4 linked regions of the Struthio camelus genome follow. The protein of the gene in region 1 purifies or fractionates together with the protein of each later gene. This does not show direct contact. Links are inferred from orthologs where the notes say so. Each region holds a gene or a part of one and is shown in the gene's direction. Other genes may lie near its edges. The genes, in order: ACTR3B, ARPC2, ARPC5L and ARPC1A.

Region 1 (7,397 bases):
ATACCTATGAAACAAATAAAGGATCTGGAACAATGGAATATAGAACTAGGAAAGACACTAAAAAGTAAGTCACCGGTTCTACAAAAGACATATAAGTCTTCCTCCTTCCCCCCACCCCAACAAACAAACCACTGACCCTCTTTAACTTGTTGCATAACATAAGACTCCAATATAATTTAAAGACAGCAAGCACTTTTTATTCTGTTTGCACAAGCAGCTTGCAGTTTTCTGCCAGAATATATTAAGGTCTACTGTTCGGTACGAATTAAAGCTTGTTTTAAGCCCCAGTTTGCAGAGTTATTTAAATGGCTTATAGCCTTAGGGACGTGAATAATTGTATTGTTTTCAGTGGGACTATTAACACACTTTAAATTACAGATGGACTTAAGTACCTTGCTCATGAGTGGTCTTAGAAATAGCTGTACAGAGGTCTATGTAGATAAAAAGAATATACAATAGGTTAATGTGTGGTCTGCAGATACAATTTGGATGGATAGTTTGCGCTGTGTTGCTCCTTTTGTGTGTGTGTGTGTGTGTGTGTGTGTATATGTGTATGTGTGGGTCTGCAGCCATTCAGGGGGGGAAAGCTCAGCTTCTCCAGCCATTTAGCTTCTCCATCTCCACATACTTTCCACTCTGTGATTTCTAGTGTGTGAACACCATTACTTGGTGACCTTTCCTAGTAATTGTATGACGACAGCTGCTTAGCAGCTGCCATTAAACTAGCCTTATGTTTGAAATGATCCAGGATTAAAGATCTGTCTTTTGTGCCGCTACTTTTGAACTTCTGAATTGAGTCTTTCTGATGTTATCATCATTTTTTGCTAGTAGGAAAACAAATTGAGACTGCAATCAGATATTTGTGACCAGTATGTAAGCATGGTTTTGGCTGGTCAGATGAACAAAATTAGAGGGTGTAGTTTATCTAACTCAAAGGTAATTCACTGAATATGATCTGATAACAGTCCTCCACTGCTTGCTAAAAATCAAAGTTTAAAAGAACAGCGATGGCTAGCCATTTATCTAGAGATGGAAGTTTTGGACTTGAAAGTAGCTTTTTAAAAACACGTAGCTGAGATTATTTTGGATGGGGGATGATACTTGGATAGGACTGAAATGTCAGGGGCGTATGATCGTGCTTTTTCACACTCATATTACTTGATTCAAGATGCTGCTGACCTCTCGGAGAGGAGGCAGAGGTGCAGGAGAATGTTCTTGAGTCCTCTGTGAAGGTTTGTATTAAGTAAGCAGTGATGGAAGAATATACCTTCTCAACTAGCTGCTTCGCTAGAACTCAGCATGAACATACGGTGTACAGGTAAGCTGTTCGGGCAATGTGAACGTTAAGTGCCAGCAGTATAGTTCTTCACCAGCTCTTAGGTCTTATCGCTACCGCTAAGCTAGCCTAGTGCTCTTAGAGATCAGCTCATCAATGAAGAAAAGCTGACTGAAGCTGATCTCAAGCAGGGGAGAGGTTATGTAAGCAAAGAAAACCTTTTTGTAGTCTCATTTACTTGAGGGTAGGCAAACACAATTAGTTAACTTGCTAATTAACGTGGTGGTGTCCCTGGACTCTGAGCTGCTGCTAAGCTTTTGCATGCGTTTTGTTTGGGAACCCATGTCTCCTCCTGGCAGACTACATATGCAACTGAAGCTAGGTTTCCGTTACCCTTTCTCTGAAATAGCAACGTGATATATCTGAGCATGACACTATCAGCTTTTAAGATGCATGATCTAGAACAAAACGTGCAGCTCATCTTAATAACACAAAGCTATTGCAAATGCATCCAAACCAGCCTCCTCTTACATAAATGGCTTCTCATAGCTAAGTGCAGACTCCTTTATTCAAAGAATCATCTAAAAGTTTCTGGAGGGCTGCTTTGCTACTGTTGAACAAAGTCTCACAGAAATTAAAGGCCTCTCAAAACTTCAACACCTTCTGCTTCTTTAGATTACCTTCTTGATTGTAAATGTACTGTAGCATGAACACTTTAAATACCCCAAAACAAAATTAAAAAAACCCTCTTCTGCCTACACAATTCTTCCTTTGAGACAAAAATGAAAGAATGGCAGATATTGGCCACATCGCTTAACACATTCCTCAAAGGCATTTGGATACTGTGGTGAAAAGAGGTGTAGACAAACCAATATAAAGCAGCATAGCTTCACTCGTTTAACTCATGGTAGCCTATACAGATAGTCAAAATGAGATCACTGGTGCTTCCTGTGTTCCTATTTCCCTTTCAGTATAGCTTAAACTCTAAGCAAACTGTTGTAGCCTATATTATGGAAAAGGCTAAAAGGACGTAATAGTCCCTGTGTGATCTTAAAGTATGAAACTACAAATAATGCCTGAGCCCGAGGCAGAAGCAATGGTATGCTCTGAATGCTGTATGGTTATGCTATCGGAAGAATCTGTCATCTTTAAGCTGTATAGATCTGGTATCTTCTCCTTCCTCTCTTATTAATTCCTGAGGAATTAGATAGTTACCGTTATTGTCATTTAAGTAATCACTAGATACTTGAGTTCTAATGTATCACCAAGGTGAACGAGTGTTTTCACATTTCTCACTGCTGCTTGGTAAGTTCATCAGCTCACCTATGTTCTCATAGTTCTGTGGCACAGTTCTGTTCCAGGTTCTCCATGGAGTTTTCTCTTTGTTACTTAGACTGTGGACAGATGTCCTCTTCGGGATCCAGCTGGAGCAGTTTAAGATGTTACTGTGCTTTACCCCTCCCCTCACTTCTGCTAACAGAGCAATTTGTTTGAGTGCTCCCTAACCCACTTCAGGTAAAATCAACGGAGTTAGCTCCCAGCACCTAGCTGAACCGCTTGAACTCTCTCAGCTGATTCTGCTTGAAGTGGGTTAGGGAACACCTACACAAACAGCTGGGAGAGCTACGGTGGTAGTAATCTGTGCCCCAGGGATGGTGATAAACAGCTTGAAAAGAGAAGGGTAGGGCACAGAGTTTAAAGCCTCTGCAGCTGTGTGAAAACTGAATGTCTGTAGTGTGTAAACTGCATGTAAGCTATGGCAGTATCTGTGTTTACAGTTGAGGCTTTCTCCACAGCCCTAGCAGCTAGGGACTTCTTAAAAAAAAGAGAAAAAAATGTAACGTTTGTGACTCTCTACTTTCCCATGATGTGCCCACAGTGTGTGAGCACACATTTTCTGAGCCCAGTGCAGCATATTGTGCAACAGCATGAGAAAGGGGAAATTTTGGCCAAGGAAGTCAAAGCATATTCTGTCTTTTCTCAGATGTATCGTTGGCCCCTGAAACAATACCTTTACCATGTCATTTTGATTTGACTGTCCTGAAGAGGGGGACAGATGATTTCCATCAGGCTTGAATCTCTAGCACTGGAGCTGAGCTAACATTGAGGCTCCAGTAACTATTTCAACATACCGATAAGGAAGCCCTCCCAACAAACGAATGGGCCGGCTTCCATGATGCTTTGTGCATCTTCCAGCATCTCTGAGGGGAACGGTATGAGCAAATATGTTGATCGAGTATGCTCAGTTTGTGGTAAACGGCTGAACAACCCCCTAAGGGCATTCGCACAGTCTTGTAGCTGTCACACCAAAGGCACCGTCTTTCCGTGGATGGGGAGGATGCCTTTCGCTCTTCTCACGCACAAGCCCCAAGCCTGTGTAGCCACTGGGAGATGGGAGAGGGTGATAGAAAGCTACACCCTCATAGGAAACAAAATTGCTCTTGTGGTTAATGCTTGGGCCTGAGCAGCTGGAGGGTCTATTTCTGGCTCTACCACGCACTCACAGTATGACCGTGGCTGAGTCACTTATGAGAAATCATTCTTGTGTATGTAAATTAGGTATCATCAACTTTGCAGGTGATGTTTGTGGCAGCCTGTTTTCAAGCGCTTTGAGAAGCGTGTATGAACGTGCTATGTTCTGGGCTGGTTTAGTGCCAACCCGGAGGGTTTGCGGGCTGCAGTGTAGCCACCTGCACCCAGCTCTGCGTTTCCACCATCGACTGGTTAAACGCCGGTGTAAACCTCGCCTTCGCCGGCACGCGAAGCACGAGGGCAAGCCCTGCTCGGCCGGGCAGCAGCCTCCGTAACGTTCATTCGGGGGTGGGCGACCCTCGCTGCAAAGAACCTTTAACCTGCCCCAAGGCGTCGCGGGGGGCCAGCACGGGCGGGCAGGCCAAGAGGCGCGGGGTGAAGGAGCGCCCTTCCGAGAGGGGCGCGGGGGCTGTGCCCCACCGCAGGCAGCACCTCGCTGAGGTGCGCGGCCGCCGGCCAGCTCCTCTCCCCCCACCCCGCTTCTTTGAGGCCGTAACAGCACGAAGGTGACAAGCGACAGGCGGGCGCCGCGCTCCCGCAGCCGACCCAAGATGGCCGCCGGCGGGAGGGGGCGGGCGCGGCGTCACGGGGCGGCGCATGCGCGCCGGGGGCGGCGCTGACAGGCGGCTGCATGGTGCCCGCGTCCGCGGGGCGGCCGGGGCAGTGAGGGACGAGCCGCGCCGGGGCAGCCGGCGGCCCGCGGTGCCGGCTCTCCAGCATGGCGACCTGCCTGCCCCCCTGCGTGATAGACGGAGGCACCGGGTAAGTGCGGGCAGCACCGGTCCCCCCCCCCCCCCTTCCCCGCTCCGTCCCTGCGGGGGCTGGCGCTCGCTCAGCCCCCTGCCCTCCTCCGGCTCTGCCCGCCGGCGCCCCCCGTTCCCGCTCCTCCGCCCCTTGGCGGCCCGGCCGGGCGGGGGGTGTCCCCGGCCCGCGTCCTCCACCGAGCCGCTGCGCCCGCGCGTCCCCGGCGTGCGGTGGCCCCGCCTGCCCGTTTCCTCCCCTTGCTTCTAATTTTAACGTTTTTTAACGGAGCTGCGAGCGGAGCCGGCGGTGGTGCGGGCCGGGGGGGAGGCAGGGCGCGTCTCCGTCGGCCTCCGCGGGCCGCCTCGCCGTAGCCTCCCTCAGCGCAGGGCGCTTGGGCCCCGCGTCAGCGGCGTCTCTCGGCCGGGCGGGGCGGGCGCCCCCGCGTTGAGCTGGGCGTCAGGTCGGGGCGAGAGGCGTGCTGCCTCGAGCCGGGGCACGAGGACTGCGGCTCGCTTCTCTCGAGGCCTCGGGTGGGCAGGGGCCGCGCTCGGCGGAGCGGGTCTTTCCAGGTCCTGGCGGTGGCTGGAGAAGACCCGTGCATCTGACAGCCCAGCGGGCCGCTCCGCTGTGCCTCAGGAGCCGGAGGTGGCACAGGGCGCCGAAATCGGGGAGGGGGGGTGTTAGTGAACCTGCAGCGGTGCTCTTGCTAATCCCTTTCCTTTGGCCCAGCAGCATCGTGGAGCTGTGAGTAAAGGGAGGAGAGGTACGTCCGTGAGTGACTCTCCGGACGTAACTTTGCTTGTCAGGGGTTGTGGATTGCGTTAAGAGTACACCTTCCTCCTGCAGGGAGTTTCAGGAAGCTCTTGCTCTGCTGTTGTCGTTTATTTAACGCTTGGGAAGTTACCTTCAACATTCCCAAAGCTCAGCCTCCTTCCCCCCCCCCCCCCCCCCCTTTTAAAGGCTAGATAGCAAGAGGAAGTGCCTTGTTTTCCGTTTATTGTGGTGTCACACTGCCTCCTTTTTCTGAAAAAGGATTTCATATGTTGAGGTACGTCTCTCTCAAACAGTCAGAAAACTTTCAAAAGTCTCTCATCCTATCTCATCTCTATCTACGTTTATATAGAAATCAGCTCTGTCCCCTCAGTGGAGAATACTGGAGTCCAAAGTGTTCAGCTGTGGTAGAAGAATCGAGAAGGGCGTCTGTCTTGCTGTAGTTCTGCCTAGGTACTAGATACTCCTGGGTAATTTCTAAGGTTCCTTTTATTTATTTACTGAAGATAGTTTAAGTAGGTTCTCCACAGACCTATTAGTGTTACTTTACAGATTTAAAGTCTGGGAGCTCTGAGCGTAGCCCTTGAAAAACCTGCGATATAAACTACAAAATCCAGAAAAAGCACCAAACGTGATTGCTGTCTCTTGCAGAAGCCCACCGCTCTTGCTCTCCGTTTGTGGAGTGATCCTAATGTCATACTCATGATAGATGTTGCTGACCAACAGTCGTACAGAATAAGCGAATGTGGAGAGAAAATAATCATTGAAATAGAGTTTGTAAAGTCTGTCTCGTTCTTGCATGGGAAAAACTGATGGCGTTTGTACGTGTGCCTGTATATCAGTTTCTTTCAGGAAAGGTTCAGATAGCTCCCACGTGGTGGGACTTGTATTTCCATGCCCCCGAATGGTCTTAATTCATATGAGATAAGGTGGTGTTTCACTTGGACTTCTGCTTGGCTTTCCTGCAGGGCACTCAAATCTAGAGACTTTTCAGCAACGAGCTTATTAAATCTGGAACAAGTAATCTTGCAGAATTGGAGAGAAAAAAAATAAGACTGTGAACGAAAGCAGCCAGAAGTAGCTTGACTCACTGATGTGCAGTCTCTGGAATTTTCCTGTGTGGGTTGAAAACCTTCTTATTGTTAGAATGAATCTGCTTTGGGTTTACAAGCTCCAAACAATTTGTTCAAATTCTCCATGAAAAGGCTTTCAGATGAAAAGCTTGGAAGAGCATAGTTGAAAGGAAAAGCTATATGCAGACCTGCTCTGCAGAACATCGTGTGTATAAAACACACTTTTCTACTTTAAGTCTCTGGTACTGAATGAGGTGCTTTGTCCAGGCGCTAATCCCTGTTTTTTTTCGTATAAGTGGACTTCAGAAGTTTGTGAACAGATGTTTTTTTTGGTCACTGTTGTCACGTGCGGAAGGAGCCTGGATTAATTTATTATTGTTTGCAGTCATAGGCCTCGGTCGTGTACGATGCTGAAGTTCCTCAAAAAAGCAACAACAGAAAAGCAACAAACAACAGTTGTACAGACCTTAAGCGAGAAACATGTTGTTATAGCAGGGCAGGGTAGTATTCCTTTCCTCTGTTAGACAGATGACTTAAACTTTCTGTGTGAATAAAGGTTATGATAAATTCTGCAGAAAGCAGCAAGAGTTTATTTGCAATGATTGCTATTTTCCTTGAAAGTATTTGCAAGGGACCTGTTCTACTTTGATTTTGATGCCCTATGTCTTTATTTTCTTTGAGTTTTTCTAGTGGTCATGTTGCTATCAATCTTCTCATGGAAAAGGACATGCTATTTTTAGATTCTTAGCACAGCCAGGCTTTTCTGGTGTTACTGTTTAAATAGCTGTAAACTTTAAAACTAGTTTTGTTAACTGACTATTAGCTGTGGGACATCAGAACTCTGGTAGGTGGGTGGTGCGCTAAGCAAAGATGGCTTAAAATACCTGTCTCCTGCTTAGTGTGTATATTTGCAGACATTGAGGAATACTTTTGTTTGTGGGATATTTTATTTGAGTCCTTCCATTGTCTTTTAGTAAAAAAAAAATCCCTACTTTTGCAAA
Region 2 (7,277 bases), on another chromosome or scaffold:
AAGACCAGCTAAATCTCACCCCAACCCTGTCTCTTCCCTGTCCCCCTTCATTCTCCCCTCCCATAAAAGAAGGGTTTCCTTGATTAGCACATGTATCTTCCCGGGTCCCCATCTCTGATCGACCCTCTCATCTTGGGGTGGGGGCTTCCCATCAACGCAGCACCTCTACTCGAGTTCAGTCCCCTCCAGAAGACACCTTGGCCCTTGAGCATCCCTGGATCCCTCTGGTATGTGTTGGTCCTTCAAGCACCTCTGAGCTCTTTGGGCATTTCTGCATCCTTCAAGTACCTCTGGATCCCTCCAGCATCCCCAGCCCCTCAAGGATCTCTCCACTGACTCTGCCCCTCCTGCCATCCTGCACAGCAGTGATGCTGCAGCCATGGTGTTAGGGAAGGAGTGGAATTTGGAAGGTCTGAAGGTGATTTCATGCCTTTCTTCTCCCCCCAGGTCCTCTCCCTGTGTGACAAGTTTCACCCCTGGGATGGAAGAACATGTTGCCCTTTGCAGGTGGCTTTGGAAACATTGCACATCTCTGGTTTTCCTGTTCCTCTGCTCAGCACTTGCCACCCTTTAGCTCTGCCATAGTGGGGAAATCACAGGTGACAGTTGGTTTTTTGCGTCTTTTGGCATTTAGGACATGGCCTGTGCACATCATCCCCACCTCCCTGAAGACTATAAGGTTTCATCTTTCTCCCATTGTGGATTGAAGCTTCCTTTTCACTCCAGTTTCCATTTCTTGGCCCCCTCTCCCCATCTGTACTTGGAGTTGCCAGACCTGCTTGGGGGCTGCTGAGGCCCCACAGAGCTGGGAGCCCTGGCTCGGGCCCTGAGCTGGCCTGGTTTGAACACAGCCACTCTCCCTGGGAACAACTTTCCCCTTCTGCCCAGTGGGGATTTCCCCGCTGCAGCTTCTGCTGGTGCCTTTGCCCTTTTGCTGGGCCTCTCTGCCAGGAGCTTGGCTCTGTCTTCTCTATAGCCCCCATCAAACAGCTGAAGACAGCGATTAGATCCCCCTTTCGCCCTGTCTTCTGCCAGCTAGACATACCCAGCTCCTTCCATCTTCCCTCTTACATCCTATGCTCCAACCCCTGTGGCTGGACCAGCTCCAGTTTGTCACAATCTCTTCTGCACTGGAAGCCCAGAGCTGGACCAGTGCTCAGCCAGGCTCCCACCAGTGCCCATGGAGTGACAAACCCTCCCCGGGCTCTGCCAGCTCTGCTCCTATGGAGATCTCTCTCCATCTCCCTGGTGGGCCGCAGCCTGGGGCATTGCTGGCACCAAAAGGGAAGGTCCCCAAGGCAGGGCTGCTGCAGGCTCCTCAGCCTCCATGGGCACTGAGCAGAGCCAGACACTTGTGCTCAGGGTAGAAGAGACACGCTTCCCCTTGGGGTATTTTTGGCTTCTTGTTTTGACTCCCCTCTCAAAATCCCTGCGGTTCTTCCGGCGACCAGATTTTCCTCACCCTACTCTACCCCCCTCCGTGGGTATCAGGCTCCCAGCCCAGCCCAGGGCAGCTCGGGAGAACAAGAAGCACCCAGTTTCCTCCCCAAACCCTCCGCCATGGAAGTCCTCCCTGTGAACCAGCTGGCCCAGCAAGTCCCTTTGCGGGAGGAAGGAGGGACGGAGCATGGGGAAATGTCCTCCCAGCCCACCGCCACATGCAAAGGAAATGGGAGCAGGTGCTTTCGCCTGCAGCACCCGCACTCCCCAGCCTCAAAGAAGGGAAGGATTTGCCCCCATCGAGGAGCCAGCTGAGATCAGCCCCAGGCACAGACCCCCAGGCTCGCCCTCAATGCCAGCTCCTTCCCCACCGTATCCAGCTACCCCTGTGCAAGACGACCCAGCTCTCAGGGACCAGTCAGACGCAGGAGACCACCCCGGCACAGTGGGTGCCCCCACCCCTGCCTGCCCTGCTCCAAACACGGGGGCAGGCAGAAACTTAGCCGTGGAGCTCCAGGGCTGGCAAAGCCGAAGGAAAACCTCAGGCTCTAGCTGAGCATCCTGCAGACTTACCAGTCTCTTCCTTAGCTGCTTCCCCCAAGTCTAGAGTCTTTTGCCCTTCCCAGTCCAGTTCTTGTCGGGAAGCTCCCCAGGGATTTTGCCAGTCCTTCCTCTCCTTGGTCTCACTCTCCGCTGCAGGCTGAGGTGGGGGCGAATCCGAACGAAACCCCCAAACGGCTGCAGAGAGGAGTTCGGCGGAAGCGCAGAGCGCTGGGGGCACGCGAGGCCCGTGGGGGCTTGCTGCGCTCCAGCTCCTCGGCACCCACCAGGAGAGCCAGAAGGTCCCTCACCTGCGCTGTCCACCCGTGCCTCTCCTCTTCTGGCTGCTTTATGTCACTCAGGCAGGAAGCGAGGTTGCAAAACCATTGCCCAGCCTGAAGCGGAAGTGGCAGCCAGAAGTGACCCTTTCCCAACTCCCTGGACCGCCTTCCCTTGGACGGGGGATGTTCAGCAGATTCTCGTTGCCCTCCTGGCCCATGGCGGGTGGCCCTTTGGGGACCGCAGCGTCCTCAGCCGCCCGGCAGTGGATCACACGTGGCCGCATCTGGAGGGGAATCACGTCTGACCTGCAGTGGTTCCCCTGTGGGTGCTGGCACCGTGGGCCCAAGGCACCGGCTCCGGCCTGGGGGTGCCACCAGCTCCCATAGGCCCACCACAGAGAGTGGACAAGGTTTCCATGTGGGGCCTCCTGGGTGCCACAGCCTTCCTGCAAGACCACAGGGCCCCTCGAAGGCTCCACCTGCCCCATGGCAAGCATTTGGCCCGGTCAGTGAGCCAAAAGGAGGATGTGGCTCTGTGCCTCAGTTTCCCCATTGATAGAGTGAAGAGTTCCCCCCCCACCCCGCCGTGCTGACAGGACACCGCAGGAGCAGGGACACCCGCCAGGAGGAAGAGAGCCAACCGCAGGCAGCACAGCCCAGGTCGAGATTTCCCCAACCGCAGCATTTCACCAGAGCCCGGCAGAAACCCACCCCCCAGCTGACGGGACGGGACAGACACGGCCCCCCCCCGGGGCTGCGGCCGGCCGGGGGCAGGCGCCAAGCCCTTTCCCCGGCTCTCTGCAGCCGCTTCGCTCCGCGGGACCTACCTTGACCTGGGACCTGTCAGCACCCACCAGCTGCCCGCCTGCGACCCCAGGGCCAGCCGCTGCCCCGCAGCCGGGCTCCAGCCCCCAAACCTGCCACCCCAGCTGGGCGTCAGGGCGCCGGGCTGAGCCCCCTGCAAAGCCTGGCAGAGCCGTCGCCGGCCCCGGGGCTTGGGGGCACCGCAGGGCACCGCCAGGCCACTTTGTCCTTGCTGGGTCGCTGGGACCCCGAACCCCGCAGCCCCCCCCCCCAGCGTCCCTCCCGCCGCAGCTCCCTGCCGAGCCGAGCCGCGCCGCGAGGAGGTGCCCTGCTGCTGCCCGGAAGCGGCTGCGTTTCGGGGTGACCCTTTGGGGTGACACAGCCCCCCGCCCCGACCCCCTCCCGCAGGAGAAAGTGCCGAGGTGGGCGGCGAGGGGCACTCACGCCCCCATCCCCCTTGAGGGGCTCCCAAACCCTGGTGGCACCCCCAGTGCCCCACAGCTGCCTGGGGCACCCCCATGCCCCCTGGGCACCCCGTTCCCAGGGGCACCCCACACTTTGGGGGACCCAGGGGTGCCCCCACGCTCCCTCAGGATGCTCGAATGCCCTGGGGGCACCTCATGCTTTTGGGGACCCCCCCGGGGTTCACCCACTCTTTTTGGGCAACCCTGATCCCTGGGGATGCCCCCAAAATTTGGAGGATCCCATAACCCTGGGGCACCCCCACATTCCCCGGAGGCACCCCTATGTCCTGGGGGCACCCCATACTTTTGGGCACCCCACACCCTTCTGAGGCACCCCTGCCCCCTGGGGAACCCCCACATTTTGGAGGCACCCCACTTTCCTGGGCCACCCCCAGACACTTGGGGACTGCCCTCCCAGGGCCACCTCCATCCCTTGGGGCCCCTCTGCGCCCTGGAGCTCCTCAATACTTTTGGGTCCCCCCAGGACCCCCCACACTTTGGGAGCACCCCACTTCCCTGGAGGCAGCCCCAGACATTTGGGGACCGCCATCCCCGGGCCACTCCTATCCCCGGGGGCCTCCCTGAGCCGTGGGGCCACCCCCACGCTTTTGGGGACCCCTCCGGGCCTCCCACACTTTGGGGGCTCCCCACGCCCCTCCCTTCCCCGAGGCAGCCCCGCCCCCTGCGCTCCCGTGGGCGGGGCCGGCGGGCCGTGACGTCACGCGGCAGGAGGGGCGGGGCGGGGCGCGGGGAGCTCGCGCGCAGGCGCCGCCGCCGCCCGGCTCCGCCGCGGCCGGGCCGGAAGTGACGCGCGCGCCCGAGAGCGGAAGCGGCGGCGCAGGCTCGGGCGGGTCCCCGGTGCGCGCAGCGGGCTCGGCTCCCTCCGGCCTCGGCGCCCTGAGAGGCCGCTCCCCTCCCCCCGGCACCGACATGATCCTGCTCGAGGTCAACAACCGCATCATCGAGGAGACCCTCACGCTCAAGTTCGAGGGCGCCGCCGCCGGGTAGGGCCGGGGGGGGGCCGGTCCGGTGAATGGGGCCGGGCCGGGCCGGGCCTGCCTGGGGCGGGGACAGAGACAGGGGCGGCGGGGGCTGGGGGGGGCAGAGCTGTGGCGGGGCCTGCGGGATGACGGGCTGGGAGGATTGGTGCCAGGGCCGGGCGGGGGGTGACGGAGCTGGTCTGGGAGGGCTGGTACCGGGGCGACGGGGCGGTGACGGAGCTGGGATGGTACCGGGGCAGGATGGGGGCCTGCGGGATGACGGGGGCCGGTCTGGGAGGGCTGGTACCGGGGCAGGATGGGGGCCTGCGGGATGACGGGGGCCGGTCTGGGAGGGCTGGTACCGGGGCAGGTTGGGGGCCTGCGGGATGACGGGGGCTGGTCTGGGAGGGCTGGTACCGGGGCAGGATGGGGGCCTGCGGGATGACGGGGGCTGGTCTGGGAGGGCTGGTACCGGGGCAGGTTGGGGGCCTGCGGGATGACGGGGGCTGGTCTGGGAGGGCTGGTACTGGGGCAGGATGGGGGCCTGCGGGATGACGGGGACTGGAAGGGGAGCTGTAGGAAAGGGCTAGGTGGGGGGGGGGGCATTAGTACTAGAGTAAGATAGATGCCTGCAGGGTGGTGAGGCTGGTCTGGGGGAGGGGGTGGAGCTGCGAGCGGGTGATCTGGGATCTGGGCTGGGGGAACAGAACTGAAGTGGAGGAAGTAAGAGTTAATTAGAGCTAGGGTAGAGTGAAGGCCTAGAGGATGAGGAGGCAAAGCTAGGCCGGCAGAACTAGAAGAGAGAGCCAGCCTGAGTGGTGATGGTGGTGCCAGGGCAGTGTGGAGGCCTGGTAGAAGAGGAAGGGGCTGGAGAGGGTACAGAGCTCAAGGAGGGAGAGCTGAGGGGGGTAGTGTTAGGGCAGGCTGGGGGGGGTTGGACTGGGCTAGGGGAGCAAAACTGAGGGAGGGGGCCCTGTGAAGGTGACAGCTGGGCTGAGGACATGAGGGATGAGGATATTGGGCTGCAGGAAGAGGAGCTGGTTGTAAAGACTGAGTTACTGAAAAGGAAGAAGGTGAGATACGGCTGAGAAGAAGAGGAGTTGGCTGCCTTACAGGGCTCGGGCCAGTAGGATGAATGGTGATGGTGCAAGGTCTGAGGGGGGAGAAGAGAGAGACAAAAAGGAGGACATGGGGACTGGGATAGGAGGCGAAGGTGGGGAGCAGGGATGAGGGGAAAAGGAAGGGGTGGGACTGTGGGACAAGGGTTGGAGCAGTTCAAGACAGAGCTGCTGCTGGGGAGGAGGTGCGTTTACAGAGATGTTTCTTATAGGATTTCAAATTTACTTCTGATAAAGCAACCTGCATCAGAGCAAGTCCAGTTTAGGCCTAGTGAGTGTCCTGGCCCAGGGGGTGGGGTGGGGGGGAGGGAGGGGGAGCCTGGTTTGCGCCTGCATCTCAGGCTGGGACAGTTTAGTCCCTGTGGAGCCAGTGGCTGTTTTACTGAGAGTGACACACTAGCTTCAGTGCAGAGGCTGTAAAGGTGCTTATCTGAGCACAATTTAGCTGTGGAAGACAGTCACTTGGTATAAACGTCCTTATCTCTAGGCAAGCTACCCGTGCTCTCGCTGTGCTGAGCGCCACAGCGCCGGTGTGAGTAACACTGGGCACCTTTGTATGTAGACAAAGCCTGGAAAAGCAAAATGCAGTAGTGTTATCTCTGGGGTGGAGCCTGTGTTCAAAGAGCACAGACCAAGCTGCCTGGGAAGAGACCCCCCCACCCCCCCAGGCAGGTGCCTTTTTCTGTTTCACTTTTCCCTTAAGTTGCTTTTGAAGCTCTTCTGCCTTCTGGGTTCAGAACTTTGATAGAGGCCGTTTCCTCTGGTTTCCCCTCTCAGCTGACTTCTGTGTTGGTTCTTGCTTTTTTTTTTTTTTTTTTGTTCATAAGATAGCCTCACAGACTGCACTGCTTTGTAGGATTGGTGAGCTGCTTGCCTCTCTGCAGTGAGGCTTTTTGTTCTTCCTGAGCGTGCTCATTTAATGCAACAAGTTTCTCCAAAGCACAGGCACCACAGTGGGAAGAGAGAACTCCCAGGTGACTCTGCTACGGTACTGCAGCTGCGTCCATTAGAAAATATTATGTATGCGGAGGTTAATAGTGTGTGTCAAAAACGCTCATTCATTGCATGTTCATACTAAGGCACTCTTCCTGTTGGAGCAAGAGAATGTGCCTGTGTCCTTAGGTTGATCTAAAATGCAGCAATTGCAGTGGAGGTGGCAGTTTGCAGCCATCAAAAGGTTGTGTGCACCTCGAAATCCTGGCTTCGTGCAACTAGAACTGGGGTTACTCATTCTGCAACGGTTTGCAGCCCTGCAAAGTTTCCATTTTGCTGTACAGCAAAGCCTCACTTCTGCATCACCACACTTGCCTGGCATACCAATTGTTCCTGGACTGATTCTTGGTTGCTGTTAGTGTGGCTGATGATGTTCTATGTTTTCCTCATTTACAGATTGTTCCTTTGTTTAGAAAAACAACAAACTAGATGTTGTTTCTGTATAATTTTTGTGCCTTGGGTGCATTGCTGAAGGGGAGGAAGTTATTTACTTCTGCGTTTTCTTTTGTGCTTGTGCTGAGGCCCTCCTGTCCAGGCAAGCACAGGGTGGAAATAAAGGTCTGAGACATGCGGAGAGGTGTATTTTTTTTTTCTGCAGGTTGTAAGTCTTCTAGCAAGTGAGTGTTGCTCAATATTTATTCATGTGAGATGTCTTCT
Region 3 (7,208 bases), on another chromosome or scaffold:
GTAACGCGCGTCAAACAGAAAGTTGTACTTGGTGTTGTAGTCAACAGTCTGAGCGTCTGTCCGGTTACGCGTCAGGGTAGCTTTAGATGCACGTAATGACTTAAAACTCCAAACAACCAAAGAACTTGTTTTCGTAGAGCGTGGATGCCAGGCTTTCTTTCAGCGTTAGATTTCCTTATGCACTGAGAAATTAAGAATGGATCTATCGCTTTGCTTTTGAATGTGACTGTTTCTCCATTTATGAATTTTCTTTGACTTGCAGGGTGACTTTGTAGATAGAGGTTATTATAGTCTTGAGACTTTCACTTACCTTCTTGCACTAAAAGCTAAATGGCCTGATCGTATCACACTGTTACGAGGCAATCATGAAAGCAGGCAGATAACTCAAGTGTATGGATTTTATGGTAAGTCTTTATCCAAATGATTTCTGAATGATGGCTAATGTAATAAACAACTACCTTATCTTTCCCCTTGGACATCTGATTTTTGAATGCAGCACTACTTGTGGCTCTCCTAGAACCAGGTGGGAAACGGGCATAGTAAAACTGGAATGTTATAATTTGTTAACGTGATCCTTGCATTCATGAAGCGGAGCATGTTTTAGTCCAGTGGTTCGCTGTTGGACTTCTTGTGCCTAAAGTCAAAACCTAATCTGACAAAGTTCTAGCTTGCTTTTTTTCCCTCCAGCACCTGTATGTTCTTGTTTGGTTTTAGTACCCTATTTGATTTTTAGAGACAGAGAAAGATAATATATTTGTACAGAAAGTGCTTTCATATCTTTTAATGAAAAGTTCCAGGAGAAATCGTAATGTTGCTGTAATTCCTTTTGGGCTTCGCTATAGCTGAGAAACAACACAATGTGTAGAGTTTGCTATGGAAGCTATTTATTGTCAGCAACAGGCATGGGGGAAAATGCCACTGACTAGAAAGAAGCAGTAGGGCGACTGTTCCAAAAACCAACACCATTAAATTGCTTGGAAAGTTTTAGTTGTGTGAGGAAATCCTGCAAAATAAACCTGATAACACCTGAGGAAATTCGGCAGAATAACTAACACCTGCCACAGGGAACATGTAGACTGTAATATGCATTTTCTGGGATAATGTGGCAACAAGAACAAATAGAAGTGTTGACAAATGGCTTAAGGCTCCAAAGAAATACTTTTCTGCCAGGGCTATACAGTCCAGAATTGCTTACATCCAGTTTATAGCTACACGAATGTGGCATTAATTTACCATTGCCAAATTACTTTTTTTTTTTTGATTTCTTTCTGGTTTTATGAGAAATGGGAATAATTTGGTCTTGTTTTGCTTTCTAACTAAGCAAAGCTACTGTAAGTCTTATTTGTAGTCAGGAAAACTAAGTAGCCCAGATAGTTTCACAATTTTTGCCTTAAATCTCCAGTGTAAAATTCTGTAATACAAACATTCAGCTGGTCTGGAATGTCCCAGCCAGCTACTTGCAGGGAGCAGAGAAAACATCATAAGTCGTGTTGTGTGAGATCCTGTTTTCGCTCCAGCACCCCCTGTATTGCTCAAGGGAGTGAAGAATGTTAGCTATCTGAGTGTGCTTCCTACTAGTGGACCTAGGTGACAATAAGACAGACAGCTTCCCGCTGAGCATTTACTGGTGCTCCTGATAATGCTTTTTATTACACACTTGACTTTTCAAGTTCTGCTGTAAGTATTTGCCTCTGTTCTTATTATTTGAATTTCTTCTGATCCATTAAGAAGAAAAAAATTCTCTATTTAACAGATGAGTGCCAAACCAAATATGGAAATGCTAATGCTTGGAGATACTGTACCAAAGTCTTTGACATGCTCACAATAGCAGCTGTAAGTGTAAACGCTATATTTAAAAAGAATCTAAGTAGATTGTCTAAATGTGACCTCTTGAATTAGCGGCCTTTAAGGGTCACGCTGGTAGAGTTCTGAGTTGGATTGAAGTGCTGTGCGTTTGACACGCGTGCCTTTTTTCTCCAGTTAATAGATGAGCAGATTCTCTGTGTGCATGGTGGCCTGTCTCCAGACATCAAGACACTCGATCAAATTCGAACCATTGAACGTAATCAAGAAATTCCGCATAAAGGAGCCTTTTGTGACCTTGTCTGGTCTGATCCGGAAGATGTAGATACTTGGGCGATTAGTCCACGGGGAGCAGGCTGGCTGTTTGGTGCAAAGGTGACAAATGAGGTAATGATGCTATTGCACGCAGCATAAAGTAATTGTAGTTATGAGATAAATTAAGACGTTTAACTACAAGTTTGGTGTTTATCCTAGTGCTTAACAGATTGAGGACTGTGTGAGATGACTAACTTTCCTGCTAAGATAGCTCTGAGTAAGCTGTGTGCTGATGAAGAAGGTGCTTTTGCTTTATTGTTGCTAATTCAAACCAACTCGAAAAAATTGAGCCGTTTGAACTTTAAAAAAACAAAACAAAACAAAACCCTGCCAGATGAGATGATACTGATCTTGCGTTTTAAAAGTAGAATGCAGTGAGTGGGGGGGGTTGGACTTGCATGATCTTTAAAGGTCCCTTCCAAACTCAACCCTTCTCTGAGACTAACTAATTTTATTAGGCTTTGTGCAGAAATACCTCCCTAGAGATTTAGGAGAAAAAACACCACTGGAACATTTTTTTCCTAAAAATTCCTGACTTAATTTTTGTTACTTTTAGCGAAACAGTAAGCAGACTTCCCTAGGCTAAAATTTGTTGACCTTCTGAGGCTTCTGAACGAGCTGCGTTAGGAAAGCCTGATTCAGGGTATTCGTTGTCCTTTGTGGTCTTACTGCAGCATGTTCAGGAAAGTGTGAACGTTGTGGACACAACGCAGGCTTAGCCATCTCATCGGCGACTGGGTGTTTTTCAGTATGTTTTGAAAAGACGGGTCCCTTCATGGCACCATTAGCTTTAATAACACATTTAGATGACAGTGATGTGGCTAGGTCAACGTGACTGGCCGCGCTTCTGTGAAAACAAGGGGCTACTTCAGTTTGGTTCCTCTCAGAGATGTTGAAGCGGGAGCCTTGAAGTATCTTCTGTGCAGCTGAAACCTGGCAGGATTCTGGCAGAAAGCTTTTGGGGCAGGTTTGGGAGCAAACCTGTTGACCAGCTGCGATACGGGGTCTCGGGAGGGTGTTCTAAATGGGGAAGGCTGTTGTGTGGGTGATGATGTGCAGCTCTTCACAGAGAATATTTACACGCCTTTTTTTTTTTTTTCCCCCTCCTTTAAATTACAGTTTGTTCATATCAACAACTTAAAACTCATCTGCAGAGCACATCAGCTAGTGCACGAAGGCTATAAATTCATGTTTGATGAGAAATTGGTAACGGTATGGTCTGCACCAAATTACTGCTACCGTTGTGGAAATATTGCGTCAATCATGGTCTTTAAAGATGTAAATACAAGAGAACCAAAGCTATTCCGTGCAGTTCCAGATTCAGAACGTGTAATTCCTCCTAGAACAACTACACCCTATTTCCTTTGAGACCTTCCCCAGCCTGCCATTTCCCTGCTCCCTTGTAACTATCCCTTTACAATATACTTTTTATTGAGCACTTTGCTGCTGAAATGCTGCCTCTTGCCTTTTTTTATGTTTAAATTATCTAAATTTATTGTGTATTATGGTGTCTGTAGCAAGTTCCTTTTTCCTACCCTAGATTCATTTCAGAATATTTGTAATATGTCCTTGACATTTATACTACTGCATGTAGTTCTTACGTACTTCTGGGTTTAGATGAAACGTTTTCCTTTTAAAATCATAATACATTGGAACCAGGTCAGTCCTGTTGCATTACTCAGCTTTTTGTTTCGTAAGTTTTAAGAAATTTCAGCAGCAAAGTTACTATCCAGTGTGCACGATGGGGCTGCAAACGCGTTGTGTTGTGTGCACGTCCGAGACGTAGAACTGAATCGTCCTTGCTATATCTTGTTTTAAGTGGATACAAAATAAAGTGGTCGAAAGGGCTGCCCCCCACCCCCCCTTTTTTTTTTTTTTAAGACTTCGGTTAAAAATACACCAAGATCTGCTACAGCGATGGAATTTGTACATTAAAATAATTGTTCTGATTTTTTTCAGATACCTTGTATTTTTAATAAAGTCGTATCTTAAATGAAATCCACCTCTAGGTTAAATAGTGCCGATACAAGCCCCGCGTTGTGGCCGAGAGGGGGCGGCGGGCGGGCCCGGGCCGCGGTTCCGGTTCCGGCGGGAGCGGGTTGGGGTTCCGGTTCCGGTTCCGGCGGGGCGGCATGGCGCGCAGCACGCTCTCGTCCCGCTTCCGCCGCCTCGACATCGACGCCTACGACGAGAACCGCTTCGTGGAGGAGCCCGAGGAGGCGGCGGCGGCGGCGGCCGAGCCCGACGCGGGCCCCGAGGTGGAGGCGCTGCTGCGGCAATATCCTTGCGGGGCCCCGAGCGGGCGGCGGCCCTGGCCGGCGGGGCGGGGCAGAGCAGAGCGGGCTGCCCCGGTGCAGGCGGGTGCCCCGGGCCGGGCGGCTGCCCCCGCTGCAGGCGGGCTGCCCCGGTGCAGGCGGGTGCCCCCGGTGCAGGCGGGCTGCCCCCGCTGCAGGCAAGTGCCCCAGTCCAGGCAGGTGCCCCCAGTGCAAGTGGGTGCCCCCGGTCCAGGTGGGGCACCCCCGGTGCAGGCAGGCACCCTGGTGCAGGTGGGGGGGTGTCCCCCGGTGCAGGTAGGTGCCCCAGTCCAGGCAGGTGCCCCCGGTGCAAGTGGGTGCCCCCGGTCCAGGTGGGGCACCCCCGGTGCAGGCAGGTACCCCGGTGCAGGTGGGGGGGTGTCCCCCGCTGCAGGCAAGTGCCCCAGTCCAGGCAGGTGCCCCCAGTGCAAGTGGGTGCCCCCGGTCCAGGTGGGGCACCCCCGGTGCAGGCAGGCACCCTGGTGCAGGTGGGGGGGTGCCCCCCGGTGCAGGTAGGTGCCCCAGTCCAGGCAGGTGCCCCCAGTGCAAGTGGGTGCCCCCGGTCCAGGTAGGTGGCCTGGTGCAGGCGGGGGGCGCCCCCGGTGCAGGTAGGTGCCCCAGTCCAGGCAGGCACCCCCAGTGCAAGTGGGTGCCCCCGGTCCAGGTGGGGCACCCCCGGTGCTTGCAGGCACCCTGGTGCAGGTGGGGGGGTGCCCCCCGGTGCAGGTAGGTGCCCCAGTCCAGGCAGGTGCCCCCAGTGCAAGTGGGTGCCCCCGGTCCAGGTAGGTGGCCTGGTGCAGGCGGGGGGTGCCCCCGGTGCAGGTAGGTGCCCCAGTCCAGGCAGGCACCCCCAGTGCAAGTGGGTGCCCCCGGTCCAGGTGGGGCACCCCCGGTGCTTGCAGGCACCCTGGTGCAGGTGGGGGGGTGCCCCCCGGTGCAGGGAGGTGCCCCAGTCCAGGCAGGTGCCCCCAGTGCAAGTGCGTGCCCCCAGTCCAGGTGGGGCACCCCCGGTGCAGGCAGGTACCCCCGGTCCAGGTGGGGGGGTGCCCCCGGTCCAGGCAGGCACCTCCAGTGCAAGTGGGTGCCCCCGGTCCAGGTGGGGCACCCCCGGTGCTTGCAGGCACCCTGGTGCAGGTGGGGGGGGTGCCCCCCGGTGCAGGTAGGTGCCCCAGTCCAGGCAGGTGCCCCCAGTGCAAGTGGGCGCCCCCGGTCCAGGTGGGGCACCCCCGGTCCAGGTGGGGCACCCCCGGTGCAGGCAGGGCCCCCTGGTGCAGGTGGGTGCCCCAGTCCAGGCAGGCGCCCCCAGTGTAAGCGGGTGCTCCCGGTGCAGGTGGGGCACCCGTGGTGCAGGCAGGCGCCCCTGGTGCAGGCGGGGTTCCCGGCGAGGGCGAGCCGGAGCTCCCGAGGAGCTGCGCCTTGCCCGCGCCGCCCCGCTGCACCCCGGTAACAAAGTATTTGCGGCAGGGCTTATCGCGCGACTTAGCTGTAGCTGCGGACTGCTTCCCTGTGCTCTTGGTCTCCTTCTGTGGCACATCGGGCTGTTACCTGGTGTCCAGAAATCGTTCTTATAAAACACATCATTTATCATCTGTTATGGTATTCAAAGTTTGTATACAAGATTGTCGGTTGGGTTGGAGTGAGTTATGATGGTGCCAATAACCGACCGGCTCGAGTCCTTGACTTGCTGTGCTGCACAGGCGATACGCTCCGAGCTTTCCACACAGCCATAAGGAATTCTCCTGTTAACACCAAGAACCAGGCGATGAAGGTAAGCGGCACCTCTGCGCTTCCTGAAGCGGCTCTGTCACTGCCTCGCAGCAGGCACGCACCCACCCCTAGATTTCAGCAGCGGATCGTGGGGGCACTTCCAAATGGTTCAGCATTTCTCCAGAAATCTGATTAATACCTTAGTGCTGTTAATTAGTGATAGACTACAGCAATACGCTGTATTTTCTACACAGGCAATCGCTTTGTGTTCAGCTGCACCATCCATAGGCAGGCTCTTGAGCAATAATGCTGCTGCTTTTCGATGCAAATGGCCTGTTAGCTAGCCTGCGACAGCAGACTCGTAAATGAACGCAGGTCTGTGCTGCTCTTCTGCCCAGCTCTAACTGCCACAGGAGGGACACTGGAGCAGCTGATGCTTGTAAAGAAGAGGATGATGTTCTTGGGATAAACCAAAGTTTCCTTACTCAGAAAAGCAATTGATGGAGTTAGTGAGCACATACCTGAAGCAGTGTTTGCATGTGGATTTTGCAATATGCTTTTAAAACAAGGAATTTGGCCTTGCACTGTTGAATTTGTTACAGCTCAGCAGATGATTCTGCAATCCCTTTCAGTTAGCCCTTCCGAGAAAGAAGCATGAAAAAAATCCACTTTTAAAAAGATGTACCCACCCTTCTCGCTACTAAAACTTAAAGTGCAAAATGTTAACCTGCTTGGTTACAACAAATAAATAGACCAACTTTTTAATGTAGTGGTCTTCTGAGCATACTTTTGTCAAACACAGGTCTTTGATACAGTTCCAGCTTTGCTGGCTCTAATGGTTTTTTGTTTTTTTGTTTTTTTGTTTTTGTGGTCTTTGCAGGAACAGGCCCAGGGAACCATGCTTAAAGTCCTCACATCTTTTAAAAGCAGTGAAATAGAACAAGCAGTGAACTCCTTAGACAGAAATGGCATTGACTTGTTAATGAAGTACATTTATAAAGGATTTGAAAAGCCAACAGAAAATAGCAGTGCAATATTACTTCAATGGCATGAAAAGGTAAGTTTCTTCTGGTGCTGTCCGGGCTCAGG
Region 4 (7,005 bases), on another chromosome or scaffold:
AAAAAAGAGAGAGGTTTGGAACATTTTGATGGGAATTTGCCTGGACATAACAGTAATTCTGTCTTCTTCCTAGCGAGCTGATGAAAGCTAAATAAGACGCTACCGCAATACAGCTTCAGTGTCCTCTTTTTTTTTTTTTCCCCAGGGTACTGCACAGCTTACCATTTTAAAAAATTGCTAAAGTAGTGATAGAAACAAGTCTAGGATATCAAGAAGACACCTACGTGGGAAAGACCGGAAGAAAGACAACAAAATCTGCAACTATCTGCAGAGAGAAGAACTACCCGTGTGTCAGACCTGAAAGCTTGCAAATACACTTCTCGAGTATACTTAGAATGATGGAAGGCACATCTAGTATAACTTGAAAACGATCTGTGCTAACACGGATATTGCATTTTTCATGTCAAGGACAGAAATAATTCTTCTCACTGGTAGTCCTAATGCTTAGTCTTAGAAGAGCTTATTGTATGAGAAAAACTTGAAGTTGCTGCTTTGTGATGCTACCCCTTTTACGGTGTCAGAGTTGCTCACCTATAATGCTATCACATGAAAAGAGAGTCTCCTTCCCATTCCCGCTCTCCTGTTCAATGCCTTGAGCCAGCCAGTATTAACAATACCAAGGCACAATTTTTCTGTCACAATCTAAAATGGGGATAACTACTGCTGCCATTTTCTCCACTTTTCTAGTGGACATCATTTTCTGTAGGAGCTAGAGTAAAACTGCTGTCTTCCAAACCCCACTATGCTGCTGTTGGTCACCAAGCCTTGCTTGGACAACTGGAACAAATGCATTTAGGCATACAATCTTTGAAAAGCAGGCTACCAGCAGGACAGGTGTTGCCAGATGTCATACTCTTTATACTTTGCTCTAGAGGTGGTCATTTAGAGTTTGAGCCTAGGGCCTGAGCAGCAGGCTCTTACCCACTTCACTGCAGATCTTATCTGGCAGGGGGGTAAAAGCAGTCAGGAGCAAGCTCTTCCCTACCTAGAAAGCCAGTACGGAAAAAGAGACGGCACAGCAAAATTTTGGTTAAAACGCAAACAGGAAGCATTCTGCCTTCTTTCCCATTCTGTATTATGGCCATTTAACACATTCCACAAAGTTAAAACAGGAGTTGACAAATAGGACTTTGTATCAAGTAGCCAAAAAGCAGGACAGTGACATAAATTAACTTTCCCTGCTTAGAAACCCCAAATTTGAAAGTACTAAAATCAATAGTGACTTTATCTGATCTTAAGGCAATGCTCTTTAGAATTCAAGAATATTATTGATGAAAACAGATTTTGATAAAACTATTATTATCTAGATAGCTATTCTAGAGCAGCTGTCAGGAAACGCAATTAGGAAAGAAAGACATTTGCTGTCTATCCCTTTTAAACATGAGGCATGTAATGATTCTCTCTCCATGGTTAGGAGTGCTGTATTTTCAAATACTGGAGCTAACAATGCACATCTAGAACCCCTCTCACGGCAAATATTTTCATTTGCAAATATCTGTTTTTACATACAATAGCTTGCTTTGAATCCAAAAGACCTCTTTTTGACTAGCTTGTGACCCAACTGCATGCAGTCGCTATTTAAAAAAAATGCCAACAACGGCAAAGGATGTCCCAACTCTTTTTTTTTTTTTTTTTCCCCATAAAAATCTTACTGTCAGACTGTATCTAGACTATTTTTACTGAGCTCAGTTCAGCCTAGCTTGTGCGGCCTTAATAACAAAAACATTGGCATCCTTTCTGGATTAGCACAGCACAATTGCATCAGCAATACAGCAAGAACAAAGGTGGAAAACTCTCCAAAATCCTTCGCTGGAGACAAGACCGTAACATTTAATGTTTAAAAGTTCTGAGCTCCTGCAGAGGTCCTTGTTTAGTTACTTTCACCTTGTCAGGTGAAAATCATCTTGTAAACATGGAACCATACTTAGAAGTAATTTCATTCATATTATGTAATTTTACTTGGCCTAGTTGCATGTGTTTAACCTGTGCATCTGATCTAGTTTTGTTGTTAATCCAGTAAGGGCCGCAATGATTACTTATCTCAGAGTTACAGAACTGTAGTGACACCGGTTCATGAGATCATCTAGTCTAGCCTCTTATCCAAAAGCAAGATCTTATATTGCATTTATGCAATACTAACAAGTATTTTTCAAAACTATTCTCAAAAACTTCTGGTAAGAGCCCACATCTCATCAAGACAGTTCCCCATAGTGCTTAGATAGGGATTTTCAACAATTTGAGCTTCCACTGTAACCTAGATCTCCATTGTTATTATTTTAGCTTATGACTTCTTGCCCTACCCACAGTGGACATAAAAGAACAAATTGTTCCTTTCCTCAGAGCAGTAGCCTTTTATGTATTTGGAGACTTACTGCATTTTTCCCTAGTCTTCTCTTTTCTCAACAGCCTCAATAAAAGTCACAGGTTAAAAGACTCTGATCGTATTTTTCACCTCTTTCTCCAAATTATCCCTAATTTTCTTATGTGGAGACCAGGACCGGATATACTCATCTAGCAAAGATTTTATATAGCTCAGTAGAGCTGAACAATTTCTGAGTATGTCTTACTGACGATTTGCTTAATCCTCATAGCCCTGGTGTGGTGTTTGCCTTTTCTGCAACAGCGAGACATTATCGATACCTATTCGGGAAACAGTACAGCTCCTCCATCCTTTCTTGCAGAATAGCCAGCTGCCCAGTTGATCCTGTCCTGTAATTCTGAAGTTGATCATGCTAGTGTACAACTGTTAAAGAACTGCATCCTATTTTTTCATAGAGTTGCTATTCTGAATTCTAGCTCCATGACCATGTACTTATGCTGCCGTTAGACTCGATCTCATGTTCAAATGCAATAATTATAATCTCATCATTGGTGAGTAATGGGCCCAGGGTAGCTCCCAGTAGAAGCACTGATATCAAGTATATTTTTCTCAACTAGTTTTGCAACTCCCTTAGAACAGTATCATCTAGACTGGTTTCCCAGTTTATTATTAGACTATCCTATATGACATGCGCTGCTTCTCCCTTATCTGCAAGCCCTGTTACACTGCCAGAAAAGGAAACTGGACTGGTTCAACCCATTCTTGACAAAGCCATACTGGTTAACGTTCACTTTCTCATTTCCTTCCAGATGCTTATAAATTTTTTATTTTTTCCTGGGACTAGAAATTAAGCTTACTACTCTATGGCCCCCCCAGCATATCTCAGAGTCACTCATCTCTCCCTACTGCATGCCTCAAAGACAACAAAGTTTGTAAGTTTTACAGAAGCCAAATCATCAGACCCCAAATGGCAGGCAACTTCTCTAGGGAATTAAGAGTAGGGCAAAGAACTGCAACTGCATTTCTTTCTATATTCCAGCCAGATAGGAGGGAAGGTCCTAGAGCTCCTGAAGACCCAGGAAGGGACTGTTAACGCCTGCACTAAGAGGTTCTTTTTCTTTCTTTTCACCAATCCTTTGGTCTCCAAGAGGGAGGAAAGCAGGGAAGGCGTAGCACTCTGCTTTTCCAGAACCTGAAGAAGTCAAAATTATCAAGCTCACAAATCCCACTGCCTCCACCTCTCGGCTCTAGGGCTCTCCTCACACCCTGACAGGCCCACACAGCCACCCAGCAAGCCGCAGCGGCCTCGGCGCCTTCACACACCCCCAAGGCTCCAGGCCAGGAGACGCCGGGTCTCCTGCCCCCTCTAGCAGATGTAGACATGGTCTCCTTCACCTCACGAGGCTAAAAAACACCAAGACCGACAAAATCACTCTCTTAACGCTTCTCCCATACTCACTAAAATACTCCCCAAAACACCCCCCTCCTCCCCGGGGAGCAGCAGCCGCCCCCGACACCACCCACCCCCTCGCGGCGCCTGCGCGCTCCCCGCGGCGCATGCGCCCTCCTCCCCCCACCACGGCCGCCTTTGTGTGCGGCGCTCGCCCGACGCCCGTGGGGCGTGGCCCCCGTCCCGCGCAGGCGCAGAGCGACCACCCGGCTCCCTCCCCACCCTTCCCCGGCTTCCCCCGCCCCTGCAGCGCGGCGGCGGCGCAGGCGCAGCCCGCGGGGCGGGCGGCGGGCGGCGCGCAGGCGCAGAGCGCGTTTCCTGGCTCCCTTGTCAGTGCCGGGCCGCCCCCTTCCCCCCTTTCCCCCCTCCCTTTCGGCCTCCGCCGCCGGCCGCTCCCTCTGCCGCCGCTCGGAGCGGAGTCGCGTTGACTGACCAGAGTCCGCGAGTCCCGCTCCGCTCCCGCCGCCTCAGGTGAGCCCCGCGCCGCGGGTGGCTGTCCGCGGCGGCCTGCCACGCGCGGAGGGGGGCGGAGGAGGGGGGGCCTGCCGGTGCCGCGGGGATGGCGGAGGAGGAGGAGGAGGGAGATTCACCTCAGCGCGGGCCTGCCCGGGGGGGGGGAGGGGAGGGGCGCGCTCCCCCCCCCCTCCCGCCGCCGAGAAGGGGGGAGGGGGGACGCCCTTGTGGCGCCGGCGCCGCGCGTCGCCCTGAGGGGACGGGGCGCCCGGGCGGTGGATGGGGCCGCGGTAGGCGGCCGCCGGGGAGGGGGTGAGGGGCGGGGGTGGGCTCGGCGCTCGGCTCTCTCCCGGTCGAGCAGTGGTGTTGTCAGCGCGGGCAGGGCCGCCGGCAGCCATCCCGAGCCGGTCGGCTTTGTCAGGCTGATGGTGTGCCGTGCCTGCGGGGAGCGACCCCCCACGGGAGAGCAGCGCTGCGGGGACTGGGACGGGGATGACAGCGGTAGGAGGCAGCCCTTAATTATAGGCGCTTCTCTGCCAGATGTTTGCAGATGATGTCGGCGCTCTGAAAATAGGCAAGGATTAAAAAGTTATCTCTCTGTCTCTCTCCGTCTCTCAGACGTGCGCACACACGTGCTATCTCAGATTCCAAACCCCAGTCCTTGCTGGTTGCTTGGCCCGGGGTAGCCTTATACCGCACATTTTTTACCCCGTTGAGGAATGACAGCAGCTGAGTCCCGTCTTTCCCAACCACCACCCTTTCAGCCTGCATGCCCAAGAAGCTTGTGCTGTACAAGCATACAACATTTCCATTTTTTTTTTGCACTGAAACTCAAGGACAGTTACTCTGCATTTGACAAAAAAAAATTAGGGATAGCTACCCTAAGTACCTTGCTGACAAAGTTAGCTTAAGAGCACCTTTTTCCTATGTGAGATCCTGAGATTGGCTGCAGGAGGATATTAAGGTTTTTACTACCTATCAATTGTATCAAGATTCACAGAGAGAGTTGTGTTTTCTGTAGTGAAGTGTGAGTTTGATTTTGTCTGCGCGTTGATAAGGAATAAATATAGCTGGAAGATTTCATTACGATGTATCTTCCTAAAGAAAAAAAAAAACTGCAAGTTCAGACAGGAGAACTAGTAGTGCTTTTTGAGGTTATCATCATTATTGTTTTTTATAAGTTTGTTACCAAACCAAAAGAGGAAGCTGTCACTTGCTACAGGTTATGGTGCTTGAGAAACTCTATCAGTGGGCAAGGATGGATCATATCTCCTGTCTAGATACAAGTTTTTGGAACAGCCAGTGGGTTAGAAAGTAAAAATCCCTGAACTAGGTATTATTAGGATGAGACTGTGCCTTTTATACATAGTGCCAATCTGTGCAGAAAATACCAGGGCTGTATTAGAAAGTGCTTTGAAATAGCTACATTCCTTGGGGAGGGGGGAGAATTAGATGTTTTTAAATTTTTATTTCGGAAAGAGTAGAAAAAGCTGAGCATTCCTTGTTGGTAGAACAGCTCTTCAACTTTTCCTGTATATGGAAATGTACTGCTACTGCATGTTGGCAAGTACGAAAGCAAGATCGTGGAAAACGCAATTCACAGACATGTTTTGCTTACATTAACACATGGAATCTCAAATCATGGCTGTCCAAGGTCAAAGGTAACTCAGATTATGTCAACAAGCTCACATTAATTGAAAAAAATTATTTTGCTTAGCACTGCATATATTTAATAGCTTAGTTTGGTTTGCAGAATATGATTATTAGGAGAATCATGAAATTAGTGTCAGTTAAAATTAGGAATTGGACTTAAAGCTCATGTAGTTGAAAGTTATGATTGAAGTACACTTCCAATGCAATTGGGAGTCGTGTTTCTTTAAGTTTAAAACAGCAGTGCATGATTTCTTTAGAGAAGAGTCTTTTCACCCCTTTGCATTAATGAGGTGCTATGTCATCTCTACTTCAGGATTCAGCACTTTCTGTGTATTTGATATACTAGTGCTGTGATAGTAATTGCTAAACTCAGTAAGAACTTGCTCATCTTTCATTCACTCCTCAGTTTCTATTGAATTGCCATTCATTTCCTGTTTGCCTCCAAATTCCTACCTTGCCCTGAAGTCTCCACCCTCTGCTAACATGGCCATACTTGGGTATGTTGTAATTTCAGGCTATAATGGGTGTGGATGTCTTGGAATGACACCACAGAGGTTTTTCTTTTTAGATGTAGATGTAGAGGTAAAAGACTTTGATCCATCAGCCAAGAATAAATTGCTATGAAATATAGTGGAATATACAGAAGGAGGATGGAATTGGCAAATCTAAGTTGTATGTGCTGAACTATGCACATTTTAATTATTATAGGTGACCTTGAGCTGCTGTGATGTTATCTTCCATCCATTTATGCTGCCATTGATTAATGCGAGACATAGAATATGATATGAAATTTTAAACAGCTTTGCACCTCCAGTTGCAGATGTTCAGGGCCATCTCTTCTGATGTAGTTATAAGTTAAAGAAAAAACTGGGTAGCTAGTTTTTTTTTCCCCCAAAGTATTGACAAACTAGACTAATTTAGCTTGTTCTCTTAGTGTTTAAATCTCATGGGGAAGAAAACATAACTATAGAACAGTTAAGTGCATGTATTAATTTGAAGAAATTAGTAATTAATTACTGTTTTTTGTAATTTTTCCCTAGGATACATGTGAATAGTTTTATCAAATAATATGTCAGCAAATTATAGTTGTCTATGAATGTTCTGGACATGTCAATTTAATCTCCTGACA

What was found.
Region 2: the proteins of ACTR3B (region 1) and ARPC2 purify together in Homo sapiens (affinity purification with mass spectrometry; 6 studies listed by BioGRID and IntAct, counting the BioPlex papers as one, with this or other methods). This does not show direct contact. The link is inferred for Struthio camelus from reciprocal best matches to the Homo sapiens genes ACTR3B and ARPC2.
Region 3: the proteins of ACTR3B (region 1) and ARPC5L purify together in Homo sapiens (affinity purification with mass spectrometry; 3 studies listed by BioGRID and IntAct, counting the BioPlex papers as one, with this or other methods). This does not show direct contact. The link is inferred for Struthio camelus from reciprocal best matches to the Homo sapiens genes ACTR3B and ARPC5L.
Region 4: the proteins of ACTR3B (region 1) and ARPC1A purify together in Homo sapiens (affinity purification with mass spectrometry; 5 studies listed by BioGRID and IntAct, counting the BioPlex papers as one, with this or other methods). This does not show direct contact. The link is inferred for Struthio camelus from reciprocal best matches to the Homo sapiens genes ACTR3B and ARPC1A.

What each region holds. Positions count from the first base shown.
Region 1 is NC_090943.1:8,634,653-8,642,049, forward strand, and holds the start of ACTR3B (actin-related protein 3B), read left to right. Parts: upstream 1-4,397; 5' UTR 4,398-4,526; coding exon 4,527-4,570; intron 4,571-4,826; exon of another isoform or gene 4,827-4,861; intron 4,862-4,993; exon of another isoform or gene 4,994-5,197; intron 5,198-5,284; exon of another isoform or gene 5,285-5,315; intron 5,316-7,397. UniProt on the Homo sapiens protein: Plays a role in the organization of the actin cytoskeleton.
Region 2 is NC_090947.1:28,618,561-28,625,837, reverse strand, and holds the start of ARPC2 (actin-related protein 2/3 complex subunit 2), read left to right. Parts: upstream 1-4,276; 5' UTR 4,277-4,459; coding exon 4,460-4,533; intron 4,534-5,844; exon of another isoform or gene 5,845-5,898; intron 5,899-7,277. UniProt on the Homo sapiens protein: Actin-binding component of the Arp2/3 complex, a multiprotein complex that mediates actin polymerization upon stimulation by nucleation-promoting factor (NPF).
Region 3 is NC_090961.1:1,255,238-1,262,445, forward strand, and holds the start of ARPC5L (actin-related protein 2/3 complex subunit 5-like protein), read left to right. Parts: upstream 1-4,198; 5' UTR 4,199-4,250; coding exon 4,251-4,376; coding exon of another isoform or gene 4,377-4,396; intron 4,397-6,018; coding exon 6,019-6,180; intron 6,181-6,999; coding exon 7,000-7,176; intron 7,177-7,208. Other genes in the region: PPP6C (serine/threonine-protein phosphatase 6 catalytic subunit), read left to right, coding at 263-404, 1,754-1,833, 1,981-2,190, 3,238-3,486. UniProt on the Homo sapiens protein: May function as component of the Arp2/3 complex which is involved in regulation of actin polymerization and together with an activating nucleation-promoting factor (NPF) mediates the formation of branched actin networks.
Region 4 is NC_090956.1:4,596,084-4,603,088, reverse strand, and holds the start of ARPC1A (actin-related protein 2/3 complex subunit 1A), read left to right. Parts: upstream 1-3,990; 5' UTR 3,991-4,241; intron 4,242-7,005. UniProt on the Homo sapiens protein: Probably functions as a component of the Arp2/3 complex which is involved in regulation of actin polymerization and together with an activating nucleation-promoting factor (NPF) mediates the formation of branched actin networks.